Linked DNA regions of Pelodiscus sinensis. The protein of the gene in region 1 purifies or fractionates together with the protein of each later gene. This does not show direct contact. Links are inferred from orthologs where the notes say so. Each region holds a gene or a part of one and is shown on either strand. Other genes may lie near its edges.

Region 1 (6,984 bases):
CTAATCTTCCCAGCAGCGCAGTGTCTGCATGGGGCTTTGGCATGGCTGGGTCAAAGGGGGGCTTGCCCTGCATCCCTGCAGGGAGGAGACAGACTCATCTTGATCTCCACGGGCTGCACCTGCAGCCTTCCAGAGACTGCCTTGCCTCCCACCCCCGAGAGTTTCATACTAGGAGCCACTGCAGCTGCAGCACACCTGGCGATTCTCTCTGCCAGGGCTGGACCCAGAGGGAGGGGCAGCGTGAAGAGATCTCGACTCACAGCTGGGCAAAGCAGGGATGTGCATGGTGTAAGATCTCTGCCACGTGCCTCCCCCCCGCCCCGAGTCACCGTCCCGCACTGCAGCACCTACTCTGCTCTGTTTTCACCAGCGTCATGCAGACTGACAGGTTTCAGAGAGGTGGCTGCATTAGTCTGTTCCAGCCAAACTGGCCATCCACTCAGCTCCTCTCGGCTCTCAGAGCACTGTTTGGGAGGTGCCTGGCTCCCCCTAGGGGTGAGTCAAGGTCTTTAAACCAGGGGTCTGCAACCTGTGGCTCTCAAGCCAAATCTGGCTCAGCATGGAACCAAATCCGGCTCGTGTCAGTCCCAAAACACATGCCACTTTTCACATTAAAATGAAAAATGAATTCAAAATTTTAAAAATGCGCCGTGACTCGTGTAGCTTGAATGCGGCATGAACCTGAACGTGACCAGTTGTGATGTAAACATCAAAGAAATGTGCGAAAAGACGCAGCAGCAGAAACCCCATTGAATAAGTCTGGGAGTACGAGGTTTCATTTATGCTCTGATTGAGCCTCATGTCAATTATCAGTATCATGAAGTCGAATATTTTCAGTCAGGTAGACAGGCATTGTGATGCGGCTCTTTGTTGGCCGCTTGTTCTGAGTGTTGATGTCGTTTGGCTCTTCGGTTTGAAAAGATTGCCGACCCCTGGTTTAAAATGATAAAACATTTTCACCGATTTTGAAACGAGAAGCCTTTCCAGAGCTATTGAGTTCTGACGTGCAAAGGTCTTTGCAATCAAGAAGGGGAGTGGAACATACCAAAAGGGGGCTAGGGAATGTCTGAGCAGAGAGGGAGAATTAAAAGTCAAACACACAATGAAATAGCCTCCTTTGCCCCTCTCCAGCATTGAGAACAGCAGCCACTGTAACATCTGTCAGCAAATACCTCCAAGCAGCAGCACCATGGAGACCAACGCTGATTACTAGCAATAACCTGTCCTCACCTCAGGGACTGGCTTCGGCAACTGTAACTTTTCCAAGATGACTTCTATTTGCCTCAGGCCAAAGGCTTGTGACACACATGCATTACCCATGGAACAGCAGCTTTCAGCACTGTCTGCTGAAGAACTATAAACAGTGGATTTATGGTAGCTGCATCTAAAAATATGATCCATGGATGTGGACACCTGCAAATATAAAGTGGACATCTACAGATTTGTAGGGGTCCAGATACAAAGTTTGCATCCAAATCCATAACACTGAGCAGTGGATATTTGCAGATGCAGATACGCATGGATATAAAGCCAATAACTGTGGATTTGCAGGGTTCTATGCATGAGGCAGAGACGGTTTAGACTAAGAACGAGGCCACTTGCTCACGTACCAAACTGATCGATGCTCCGTAAATATCCTATTAGTGTTCTACCATCTCGAAGGAGGACCAAGTGTTTTTCTGGAAGAGATATTAAATCAGCACCCGCCGGACACACCGCATGATCCCCACTGGCCAAAATGGATCCAACCTTCCGTTTTGGGGCAGGGTAGGTCCCCAGAGCCAGGACTGGGGGGAAGTGGCCAGGCTCAGCCTGAGGAAGGGTCAGACATGGGGCCTGCCGACATTGCTATGGGAACAGTCTGTGCGGGCCCACGGCTGCACCCCGACAGGGAGGGGTGGCAGGGCCCAGGCTGGTGTGGCCCCAGGGCTAGGGTTGCCAGGTGTCCAGGATCGGCCCAGACAGTCCGGTATTTGCGGCTTCTGTTTTGTTAAAAAAAAACAACCAGAAAATAGGGAACATGTTCTCGGCGGGAAGGCCGCTGGGGACATGCTTCATTCTCCCCCTGCCATGCCTGGTGGGGGCGGAGGGGATTGAAAGGCGCAGTCGCTCCTTTTTGGTGCCTTTTTTAAAATTGTTTTTGCTCAACCAATTTTTTCCCCGCACCAGTGGGGAGAGGGGTGCGGGAACGGGGCCGAGGAAGCGGCAGGACCTGCGCGGGAGTCGGGAGGGGGGGCTCACGGAGCCCAGTGGAAGGGGGCTGAGGAGAAGGGGGCCGCCGGGAAAGTGGGGGCCAGAAGCCCAGTGGGAGCCGTGGGCCAAGGAGGGGGCGGGGCCCGGCGGGGGAGGCTGGGAGGGGGCGGGGCCGAGACCGAGAGAGTGAGGGGGCGGGGCCAGGAGGGGGGCCGAGGAGGGGGAGAGGGCGGGGCCCGGCGGGGCCCGGCGGGGGGGCCGAGGGGGGGTCCGAGGGGGCGGGGGCCCGAGGAGGGGGCGGGGCCCGGCGGGGGGGGCCCGGGGGCCCGAGGAGGGGGCGGGGCCCGGCGGGGGGGCCGAGGGGGGGTCCGGGGGGGCGGGGGCCCGAGGAGGGGGCGGGGCCCGGCGGGGGAGCCGAGGGGGGGTCCGGGGGGGCGGGGGCCCGAGGAGGGGGCGGGGCCCGGCGGGGGGGCCGAGGGGGGGTCCGGGGGGGCGGGGGCCCGAGGAGGGGGCGGGGCCCGGCGGGGGAGCCGAGGGGGGCCCGGGGCCCGGGGGGCCCGAGGAGGGGGCGGGGCCCGGCGGGGGGGCCGAGGGGGGGTCCGAGGGGGCGGGGGCCCGAGGGGGGGGGGGCCCGGGGGGGCGGGGCGGACTCACTGTCGATGTCCTGGATGAGGCTGGCCGTGCCCGGCATGTAGTTCATCCTGCCCCGCGCCCGCCGCCCCCTCACGCAGCGGAAGCGCCGCCATCGGCCCCGGATGGACCCGCCCAGCGGTGGGCGGGGCAGAAATAGCCCCGCCCCCTCACTGCTCGCTGGCGGCAGGCAGCGCTGGCGAAGGGGCGCTTTGTGCCTGTCTCTTTAAGACCCGGGCCTTGTGTGCCCTTCTCCGATTGGTGAACCGGGGGCTGAGGGGAAGAAAGTTGACGCTGATTGGGTACGTTTGTGTTGACCTCCTTAGAATGTGGAACCCTAGGTCTGATTGGCCGATGCGCTCGGCAGGGGCGGGACCCTGCCAGGGATTGGCTGAGGCGATTGGCCTGGGCCCCCCGTGGCGATTGGCGGAGCTGGTCACGATGGGGCGGGGGGCTGTGTCGCGGCCGGGGATTGGCGGGTTCCGCGCAGGCGCGGCGGGGCGGCTGGCAGCCCGGAGCGGCGCTGGGAATGTCTGCCCTGCGGCGGCTGCTCCACGGGCCGGAGCCGGAGCCGCCCCCGGGCCCCTGGGCCTGCCCGCAGCACCGCGGCGCCGGGCCGAGCTGGGCCGGGGGCGGCTACAGCCCCGCGGCGGGGGGCGCCTGGGACAGGCCCGGGCGGGGCGGCCCTCAGGTAACGGGGGGCGGGGCTTGTCCCTGGGGGGAGGAGCCTGCCCGGGGGCGAGAAGGGGCGGGGCTTGTCCCTGGGGGGCGGGGCTGGAGTTTGTTAGGGAGGGTCCTGCCCGGGGGGGAGGGGTGAGAGGGGGCGGGGCTTGTCTCTGGGGGGAGGAGCCTGCCCGGGGGGGGTGAGAAGGGGCGGGGCTTGTCCCTGGGGGGAGGGGCTGGAGTGAGTTGGGGAGGGTCCTGCCGGAGGGGTGTGAAAAGGGGGCGGGGCTTGTCTCTGGGGAGGGGGGCTGGAGTTTGTTGGGGAGGGTCCTGCCCTGGCGGGAGTGAGATGGGGGAGGGTTGTGCCCCGGTGGTGCATGGGCAGAATCGATGAGGGGCTGGTCCTAATCTGGGTGGGGGGAGATGGAGTGAAATCCGTGGGCTTTGACCTGCTGCGGAGCCTGAGGTGGGGGCTCCCTTATGAACACACCTGACGGGAGCTGGGGAAGGAAACTGCGGTTCCAGGGTGCATGTTCCCTGTAATTTTTTCCATCCATGTGCCTTGTAAATTTTGTTACATGCACTGAGGCATGTGCAGATGTGCACCACCAGTCAAAACACTTGCTGCCAGCTATGAGTGCTCTGCTAAATCAGCTGGGCGGTATCTCTCCCGGGTGACTGCCCAAGCGCTCGGCTTATAGGGAACAGTGATGCAGATGCCTTGGGTGTTATGGTCTGTCGCTATCCTGGTGTGGAAGAGGTGGCTGCTCTGAGATGCAGTTAAGCTAAATCGCTCCTTTGTTCCTGAATCTTTGCTCTGTTTAATTGATTTAGCATTTCTCTTGTTATTACTGTGATCAGAAGCCAACTCTGCATCACCTCGCCCTTAAGGCTGCCTTGACACAGTCCCACTGGTGCACTAACAAAGAGGCTTGAGCCTGCTGTATGAGAGTATTATTCTTCTAACCACTACTGGAAAGTGATTCTGTGCCACCTCAGCATCTGGAGAGGGAGGAGGTTTTGATTCTGGCAGCTAGCCTGGACAGGGGAGAAGCTTGGAAAAGGCTTGGAATTGCATTGGGTGTGAAGATTTGAAAATACCCTTTCAGGTCTTTTACAGAGTGTGTTATGTTTCACATACAGCAGTCTGTGCAGGCAGTCTCTTCCCCCACAGCACTGCAACAGGTCTTGCTATGAATTCTCTTCACGTTTTTTATTATTAGACATTGTCTAATCTTTTGCTAGCTCTAATGCTGCCTCTTTTCATCCCATGGGGCAGGGAGGGTACATGAATACAAACCATGGGCTCTTTACAATCTCTGCACTAACACCCCCCAACCTCCTCCCTCAGGGAACCCATTTTCTTGTGCCGTTCGAGGCAAAGCGGTACTGTGGTTGTATATATGTTTGGTCCTTTTTGCAGGTGAATGTGGGTCTAGACATCGTTGTAGTGGTAGCCAAGTATCTTCTCAGAATTAGGGATGTCAAATCCTATTGAATTGGTTAACTGGTTAAATGTAATGTTTAACCCACAGCTGGGCTGGAGCAGCCTCTCCACCGCAGTCGGGGCCTGCTGCGGACAGAGGCTGGAGCACCCCTGCAGGTGGTGCACCTGAGCCTGCCATAGACGGGGCTGTTCTGGCTGGGCTGAAGCTCTAGCCCCCACCAGTTAACCAGAACTGATAAGCATCACCCATGTGGCAGGTGCAGTAGAGTTAGCTGGGTAGTGGGGTCTAGTAACTTACTGGTTATAAGACTTGGGAAAAACTGTAGAAGAAAAAGAAAAGAGATATCAGAAAACCAGAGGCCTGCATTCTCATATCCAAAGCGGCATGGGCCCAGTGGATCAAATGGTGGTTTCTAGAGTTAATGCTACTTGTGGGACTCCAAAAGTTAATTCGTCTACTTTAAGGTTAAGAACACTCAGAGTTATATTCAGGGTCAAAAGTGAAATTACCCAGAGCATCCAACTCCTGAAATGACATGTTGCCATCACCCCGTTCTAGTCTGCGAGGTGGGGATCCCGAGCTTGAAGCTTGTCTTCCTGTAAGCCATGAGAGGTCTGCTGAGAGTGGAGACGTGTTTAAACCATGCTGTTAGAAAGGGGCTGTGTCTCTCCATTCCTTTCTCTGTACAGACCCCCCACAAGGCAGCTTGGTGAGCTCCTTATATCCCGTACAATTGGAGGAGTAACTTCCCAGGGGAAGTGTGAGGCTCATTTGTGTAGTAAAGCAATTTCAGCCCCCCTGGCGCCAGAGGGCAGTGGATGACAGCGCCGTGCTGAAGATGGTGCATCAGTAACAGGTTCCTCACTCTGTTGGTGTAGTAAGATAATGGTCTGATCCACCTGGCCTGAGCACAGCCTGGTTCTTGGAGATGAGGATTGCAGCGGTGGCTGTGTACATGTACAGCTCAGAGCAAGGTTTGCCAGTGATCCACATGCATTCCTAACAGGCAGATCCGGGCTGCTAGCAGCCCCCTCTCGCAATGAAAGGCCTCCGATAAGCTTGACTATAACAAAGGCAAAAGCAATGTGTGTGCGGGGCGGGGGGGGGGAGTGCACGCGCTTTCCTGCTGACAAAACAAAGCCTGTTCAGTGGGGGGAAGGAGCATTTTGTCAGCAAACTGCCGAAAACCAGTGTTCTCTCTCATAGCTGTGTAGCGACAGGGCCTTGTTGCTAAAAGCTGCACAGTGTAGACAGACCCGGATTCCCCGATGTGTGGGGTGGGGAAGTGCTTGTTCTGAGCGAAAGCTGGTATGAACTTGTGGCCACAAAAACACTCCGGTGTTGGGCTTGGAGGGTCTGGTAACCTGTCAGAAGCCTTGTTGGAGTTCGGGAAGCATCTCTGGTGAGCTTATTACCGTGGGTGTCAGTCTGTTGTTGTTCTCGCTTTTCTCTGCAATGATTTTTATCATGAGATTGAAACCTGCTTGCTTAGAGCTGTGCGGCCACTTCAGCTGGGGCAATCAAAGTGCAGACAAGGATCTGTGCAGCCTGGAAGTACCCCAGTCAGGAAGGAGAGAGACGTGTCTCTGCTAGGAGAGGTGATGGCTGGGGAGCAGAAATCTGAGAGTAGCCGCCCTTGCTGGTCCGGAGGGGAGGAATACAGGGGCCCTGGAACCATGACTGTTGCGATGAGAAAATGAGCTGCTTTATTTTCCTTAGGAACAGCCTCCTTATCCGGGATATGGGTCCAACTACTGGAACTCAGCGGTGCAGTCTAGAGCTCCCTATCCAAGTCAATACCCAGCTGGACCTGAGTTACAGAGCCAGGTACGGTAGAAGGGCCTCTTGTTTCTTTTGAAACTGAAAGGTTTGTTTTGTTGGGGCAGAGGTTCAAGCCAATACCCCAGTACGAAAGGGCTGGTTTCCCTTGAAAAGGAAGGACCCAGGAATCCCATGTAGGCAATATCCCCAAGAGCGTGGTTCCTTTGCCCTTTTAGGCATGATCTAGACGGTGCTTGGTTCTGCCATGAGGGCAGGGGACTGGACTTGA
Region 2 (7,361 bases), on another chromosome or scaffold:
GCTCTCTAGCTGTTGCAGGCTTGTCTTCCAGTTCTGCAAGCCGCTCATGTGCCTCCTGCCAGTCATCATCTGCAAGGGAACCACAGAAAGGAAGCAGGGCTGGCACCTCAGTACCACTCATTTATGCTGCAGCCAATTATACCTCCCGGGCACCAATGGACTGGAATAGTGTGGAAATGCTACAGGTCAGACTGAGGGACATCAGCAGAGCTTTAGGTGGAGCAACCCACGACTGGAGCTGCAGGAGTGGGAGTGGCTAAGGGCAGGACTAAGAAGATCTCCAGCCAGCTATGGCATTCCCCTGAAGTAGAGTTAGGAACAGAGATGAGGCAGTAAATGGGAAATGCAGCAATCACCAATAGCACCAGCTCCAAACGTGTCATCATTGAACTGGTCGATATCTTCATCCTCCTCACCCAGGGTCTGAAAAGCATCTTCATCCTCATCCGGAGGACAGTCCTCCAGGGACTTGGAAAAGAGCAAAGAAAGAACAATGAACCGGCTTCCAGAAAAGTCAGTTTGACATGCCCATTCAGCATCACCGAAGTGGGCTTCCCTCAGTCACCTCGTGTCCAAAGCTAGGGCTCTGAGCCTGTCTGAACCATTCTGTGGAGATGGTCTCATTTCTCTATATCAGCACATCCCAAGCGTGGCCCTTCAGCAGAAAAAGAGTCATCACCTCCAGCACACACTAAACACAACTCCTCAGACAAGGCACGTTACTCCCCAGCAAGCGTGTCCCAAAACACCCACCCACAGGGCACCCACGACCATCAAACAAGGTACTTCTGCCCAATCATGGACTAAGTGCATCCCACAGGAAAGACATAATTCTCCTCTCTCTCTCACTCACCCCCTCCTTACAAAGAATGCCACCCCACAGATAAACATCCCATTTCAAGCACACCTCCCCAGACAGCATGAGGGGAAGGAGGGAAGTCCAGCGGTTACGGGGTCCAGTTTGGGATCAATTTCCCTGCTCTGCCACTGTGACATTTCAAGCAAGTCACTAAGTCTCTTGGGGCTCCTGTTCACCATCTGTACAAAGAGAAAATAGCACAGCCCTGCCTTACACAGGTGCTACAATGATAAATATGCTAAAGATTGTGAGTGTGACAGGAGCCAGAGAAATACAAAGAATACTCTCCTACCAAGACCAAGCATGCCCCATATTCCTCCCATGCACACCCTGAAACATGGTACCTGACATACACCATACAACAAACATAACTTACATGTAAGACACATGTATCCTTGCCTCCCAGCATGGACCAAGAGTGTCCACTCAAATGCCTTCTCTGACCCAAGCCAGCTGGGTAAGAAACAAGTGTGCTCCTAGCCTCAGTTCACAAAAACATAGTGGCCAGCAAGCACGCGCTACGCCATACCCACCACTCAATTAGGTTCTCCCTCAAACTGTTCACTTTCTGAGTCCCATCACCTAAAAGCACACAACTTTTCAGTTAACACAGCAGACAGACTAGGATCAGCTTACAGGCTGAACCTCTTTCATCTGGCAAAAATTGTGGTCCAATATGATTTTAGTTAGTCCCCTATCCTAGGTCTGACCAAGTTTCCCATGGTCCCATAAAGTTTGCTTACAGCCATCATTCTTGGCTCTCAGTGCTCTGATTCAGCTCTAATTTACCCCTAAATGTCTTCTAAGATCCCAGTAAGTAGTGGAAGTGTTGGCGATGCTGCTTAACAATATTGACCTCCCATGTTTGGCAAATTCTCTGGTTCAGCACCAGTGGTGCCAGACTAGAGAGGTTCAACCTGTATCAGCAAATCTAACCTGATTGGCCAACATCCCCGGGCATCTCTCTGTGCCACCTCCTGATCCCATAACCAGAATCTAACTCAGATGCACATACCCCCCCATGTACATCAGACTCAAAAGAGCAGCCCCAGGCCTGTACCCCAATAGTTCCTGCTCCAAAAGACATGCACCCTTCATATCGCACATCCTAAGAAAGGTACATACTATGGCCCATGCAGCCCCCTCAGTCACCTTGACCCCAGCCCACATTCTGCATTCCCACCTCAAAGAGGCAGCTTTAGCCTATCGGTCATGCTACCTCCTTCTGAAGGACGACCCAGCCCACACCCTGTAGAATCACCCTCAGAGCCCCCTACTCCAGGCCACAGTATCTGCGCCATGTGTGCCCCCGCCACACTGGCTTGTACCCGACCATGCACCCTGCAACAGAGGGCCCTCCTGGACCGTGGCCCAACATCCACACAACTGAGACCCCTCCCCAAATCACACCACTCCCTACAGAGGCCCTCTAGCTCATGCTTCCCCAAAGGTACCTCCCACAGACCTCCCCCAGCAGCCCAACACACCCACAAGCCAGGCCTCCCAGTCAACACCCCCTGCCTGTACCCACCCAGAATCCTATGCCCCTCCAGACACAATCCCTGACCCACCCCCCCACCTCTCAGAACTGCGTCCTCCAGCCCCAACCCCACCCCACAGCTCCCGCCAACAATGTCCAAAATACCCAAGCCTCCCCAGCCACGCCCCACCCCCCAGACACACGTGCCCCTCAGACTCCCCTGCAATCCCGCCCCAGACCTAGCCTGCCAGCCCATGACCCTCCAGCTCGTGCCCCTCCTGCACCCCCCCCAGGGCTAGCCCCCCCCAGCCCATAACACCCGCCAGCCCGTGCTCCTCTGGCCCACGCCCCCCCCCGGCCGTGCCCCTTTGGCACCCCCCAGCCGTTCCCGCCAGCCCCGCCCCGTGACCGAGGAGGAAGTTGGGGCTCCGAGCGGGGGGGGGGGGACGGGGGAGAAGTAGCGCAGGGGCGGAGGTCAGAGGTCAAAGGTCGCAGGCGGGGTGGGCGGTGCCCGGGGCAGCCCCTCACCTGGTAGCGGAACATGGTGAGCGGCGCGGAGACTCCCACCGCCAGGGAGGCTCCGCGCGGACCCCGCTCCGGCTCCGAACCCCCGCCCCTCGCTACGCATGCGTCGCCGTCAGGACACATGATTATGACGTCATCGCGCAACCCTCCCCGGCCTTTCCTGTCGGTACGCAGGCGCACTACGTCTAGCGGCCCTGCTCCTGCTGTTAAAGAAACAGCGCCTGGGGCCACTCTTAAAGGGCCAGTGTCCCTTTCCCTGCCTGTGGCCTCTTAAAGGGCCAGTGTCCCTTCCCTGCCTGTGGCCTCTTAAAGGGGCAGAGACTCTTTCCCTGCCTGTGGCCTCTTAAAGGGGCAGAGACTCTTTCCCTGCCTGTGGCCTCTTAAAGGGCCAGTGTCCCTTTCCCTGCCTGTGGCCTCTTAAAGGGCCAGTGTCTCTTTCCCTGCCTTTGGCCTCTTAAAGGCCAGTGTCCCTTTCCCTGCCTGTGGCCTCTTAAAGGGCCAGTGTCCCTTTCCCTGCCTGTGGCCTCTTAAAGGGCCAGTGTCCCTTTCTCTGCCTGTGGCCTCTTAAAGGGACAGCGTCTCTTTCCTTTTCCTTTGACCAGAGCACTGAAGGCTGGGGGAGGTCTCCCTAGTGGCAGGCCCCTCTTTACACCCTCACTGATTTGCCCCAGCGCTGGGCAGCCTCAACAGCCCCCACACACCCAATGGGGCACCAGAGCCCTGCTGCCCGAAAGGCCGAGCCGCCCCGCCAGGGCCCCGGGATCCGCACGAGGCACTGCCAGGAGGCCTCGCACACGGGGGCCACCGCCCCGCCTGTGCCACACTCCCCGGCTGCTTCTGCTGCAGCCTGGGCAGCCTCATGCTCTTTGCTCAGTTACCCACCCCCAGGCTGCTTCGTCCTGCTGCTCTTTGGGGGCCCCAGTCCTGCGTGACCCCCGCCTCCTGCAAGTCCCCCTTCAAACACAGCTTCAGGGATCTTCTTCCTGCTCCTCGTGCTTCTGCATTGTGCCCCTTGGGAAGTAAGCAAACCTTAGGCTGCTTCCTCCCTTCCCCCATCCCCTACACACCCTACATCTTTCACTCTCTCTCTCATCTATCCCCACACATTCACTCTATCTATCTATCTATCTATCTATCTATCTATCTATCTATCTATCTATCTATCTATCTATCTATCTATCTATCCCCATACACTCCATCTAGATATCCTCATACACTCTATCTTTCTATCTCTTCAATTCCTCCTACCATTGCCTACCCCAGGCTAAGTCTGTTTGATGACACTAGACATTACGGGCTGTTAGTCTGGGGTCTGGAAGAGCAGAGTGAAGCCAATCTGTGTCAAACAGCCTCAGGCAGGAATCCCCTTTCTATCCATTACAGCCAGTCAGTAAAGTGCCCTGGGGCATGGAGCCAAACGGTAAAAGTTCAGAGATCAGTGCATGTTTCAGTCCTGCCACATCAGTGGGGAGAAACCCTTCTTGACTGGCGGCTTTCCTCACTTATTTGCCTCCTGGGGAAGAGCAGCCAATCAGAGCAGCTACAGAAGACAAGCGGCGCTCTCCTTCCCATCAGGAGGGAACAGTGAGGCTGGGGACAGAACAGTGAAGGCAAAATTGATGGTGTGTTTGTGAAACTAAGGGGGATAGAACTGGTTTGGGGATGGGGGAGCAGAACTAATTGCTGGAGAGAGGAAGGGCAGATAAGGGGGTGATGACCCCCCCCTTTTTTTAGTTGTTTTGCCTACCACTTCAAGCACCAATTTACAGCCAAGTCCTGTGTCTCTGTGTCCAGGACCAACATAATTTCATTTCTGGTGTCTTTGCTGAAATTCCTGCTTTTCTTAGTGCCAGCTCATGAATTTGTGGGCACCTGACTCATGATTTTTGCATGCCTGGGTTTGGTGACACTGCGTAAAAGGCACAGATTCTGACCTTGAAGAAAATCTCTACCAGCCCCCATCCCTCTTAAGTCATGGTATCCTGATGGCACATGCTAGACCTCCCCACCCACGTACATGGCTTTTGTTATGGCCTTTTCTCTCTATCTGTACATTGACTGCTTAGATTGTCAGCTTTCAAGGAGAAGGACCTGCTCTCTATTCCTGTCTATACAGTGCTATGCATGCTATTCGTGCTATACAAATAACATAACAAAATTCATGTTTTTATCATTCACTCTCTTTCTGCTTTACCCTTTTTATTCACCCTCCAGCCATACCAAGCACATAATCAGGAAGATACTAATAATTATTATTATTATAACTTAATAATAGTAATGATTACAATTCATAATCAACGTATTATATACATAGATGTTCAAAGTATTTTTCAAAATAGTGGGTGCATCGTTATTATTACCCTCATGTTTCATTTGGGGAAATCGAGGCACTACAGTTAAGGATTTCAGCAAAGGTGAGAATAGAATGCCAGGTTCCTGAGTTCCAGTGCCCTGGTCTAACAAATAGTAGGACTCTGTTTTAGGAAGGGTACCTGGATAACTAAGAAAACAGTTGTGGAAGTGGATGTTGTTAATTATGATTCATTCTTTGTGGAATGCAAGTATGTTGTCAACAGCAGGGATTGACCCAGAGGCCTTTGGATGTTAAGGCATAAGATGTTCCAGTCTAGGGACAACTCCGTTAGTTACAGCTGAAGCAAGCAAATCAGTCTCTATTTTGTGGTCCAGCCACCTCTAGCAGGGACAGAGCACTAGTCAGAATGAGTGAGAGTGGGTTACATGTACATTACTGTGGGAACATCAGACCAGCTGCTGTCTGATGTTCTTTGGCTTGCAGATCAATGCTCCAAGAGACTGAGGTGGAAAGAAAGTGAAAATGAAACAGATACTTTGTGCTCAGTCAGTTTCACTTCTGCATGCACAGCCAGTTTTCTTTCCGGAGTCTCACATGCTGGCAGGAAGAAATCAAGCTTCTTCTGGGATGTTCCTGCAGCCACTATGTAACTGTGCCCTGGGCATGGGCATTTTCTGGGCCCAGTGAATACCTATTGCATAGATGCTCAGTGGAAGGGCATTTTCTGTTCAGGGTCAAATTCAGGGGTGGGGAACCTGAGGCTCGAGGGCTGAATGTCTGGATGTCTTGGCTTGTCTGGATCCAGCTCCTGAGACTCTCTGTTAGCCAGGGCTAAAGCAGTCAAATCAGCCTCTATTTTGTGGTCCAGCCACCTTTAGCAGGGACAGAGCACTAGGCAAAATGGGTGAGGGTGGGTTACATGTACATTACAGCTCCAGCTCTCTCCCCCTCCCCCTGTTGCCCTGGAGCACACAAAATCTACTAGCCTGGACTTCCCTAGACTCTGATGCAGTGATCCCCATCACAGTGCCCGTGGGTGCCATGGCGCCCGCGGGGGCATTTGTTTGTGCCCACCAAGTGCTCGGGGCTGGCCCCACCCCGGGCGCATGGCGCATGTGCAGTGCCGGAGCTGGCCCCGGGCACGTGGCGAATTGGGTGCTCTGGCCCCCGGGCGCACAGCGAATTGGCCGCCCCACCTCCGGGTGCATGGCTATGGAGGGCGCCGGCCCCGGGCGTGCGGCTATGGGGGGCGCTGGCCCTGGGAGCGCGGCGAATTGGCCACCCCGCCCCCGGGCACGCAGCTATGGGGGAAGGAGTGCCAGCTTTGGGCGTGTAGCTCTGGAGGATGCTGGCACCAGGCTTGCTGTGAATGGGCGGCCCTCCCGCCCTTGGCCACGTGGCGCATAGGGTTGCTGGCCCCAGGCACATGGCTCATGAGGGTGTGGCGTATGCGCGGCCCCACCCCCAGGTGCGCGAGTGTCCCCGCCCTCTGGCGCCCGACAGGCGAACGGCCACGCCTTCTGGCGCCCGGCAGCTTCAAATGGTTGGGGACCACTGCTCTGATGTGTGAGGGAGACTGTGGGGAGTGTCTTTCTCCTTCTTAGTCAGGAGAACGTTAGTGAGTGGTATTTTTGTTTCTCATCTGTGTGCAGCCCCCAATGGATTTTTCTGTGGGTCAGCGGCCCCCAGCCCAAAAAAGGTTCCCACCCCTGGACTGATAGCTATATGTGGGGTCAGGAAGGAATTGGGTGGGATTCACTTTCCTCTGCAGCATGTGGATGCGGGACACTTGCCAGAAGTATCTGGGTATATCTCACCTACTCATTTCCCTGCCATTGCTGGAGTCTCAGGCACCAGTGCACCTCAGTCTGTCCTGTTCTCTGCCTGTGGCACATAATAGTCTAGTCTGCTGTAGACTCTAATACTTTGGTCTGATTTGGTTATTAGATTTAGTGTGTGGATGCTGGGTGGTGTTGGTGGCCTGTGATATACAGAGGGTCAGACCAAACAATTGGATGGTCCCTTTTAGCCTTAAACTCTGTGATTCTATGTTTTGGGATACCAGCAGGGGAAGCACAGAAACGGCTAGGAATGTGTTTACAAAACTCTTTTTTTTTTTTTGGCCAGAAAATGCCAGTTCATCAAAAAGAAACTTTTTGTAGGACAGGGTCAGTTTTAATGAA

Evidence for each region. The genes of interacting proteins can lie anywhere in the genome.
Region 2: the proteins of LSM1 (region 1) and PATL1 purify together in Homo sapiens (co-immunoprecipitation; 3 studies listed by BioGRID and IntAct, with this or other methods). This does not show direct contact. The link is inferred for Pelodiscus sinensis from reciprocal best matches to the Homo sapiens genes LSM1 and PATL1.

The regions. Positions count from the first base shown.
Region 1 is NC_134738.1:15,375,926-15,382,909, forward strand, and holds the start of LSM1 (U6 snRNA-associated Sm-like protein LSm1), read right to left. Parts: upstream 3,005-6,984; 5' UTR 2,894-3,004; coding exon 2,848-2,893; intron 1,680-2,847; coding exon 1,611-1,679; intron 1-1,610. UniProt on the Homo sapiens protein: Plays a role in the degradation of histone mRNAs, the only eukaryotic mRNAs that are not polyadenylated. Probably also part of an LSm subunits-containing complex involved in the general process of mRNA degradation.
Region 2 is NC_134714.1:126,410,749-126,418,109, reverse strand, and holds the start of PATL1 (protein PAT1 homolog 1), read right to left. Parts: upstream 3,013-7,361; 5' UTR 2,988-3,012; coding exon 2,868-2,987; intron 2,320-2,867; exon of another isoform or gene 1,269-2,319; coding exon of another isoform or gene 1,236-1,268; intron 1,184-1,235; exon of another isoform or gene 923-1,183; coding exon of another isoform or gene 854-922; intron 469-853; coding exon 357-468; intron 70-356; coding exon 1-69. UniProt on the Homo sapiens protein: RNA-binding protein involved in deadenylation-dependent decapping of mRNAs, leading to the degradation of mRNAs. Acts as a scaffold protein that connects deadenylation and decapping machinery.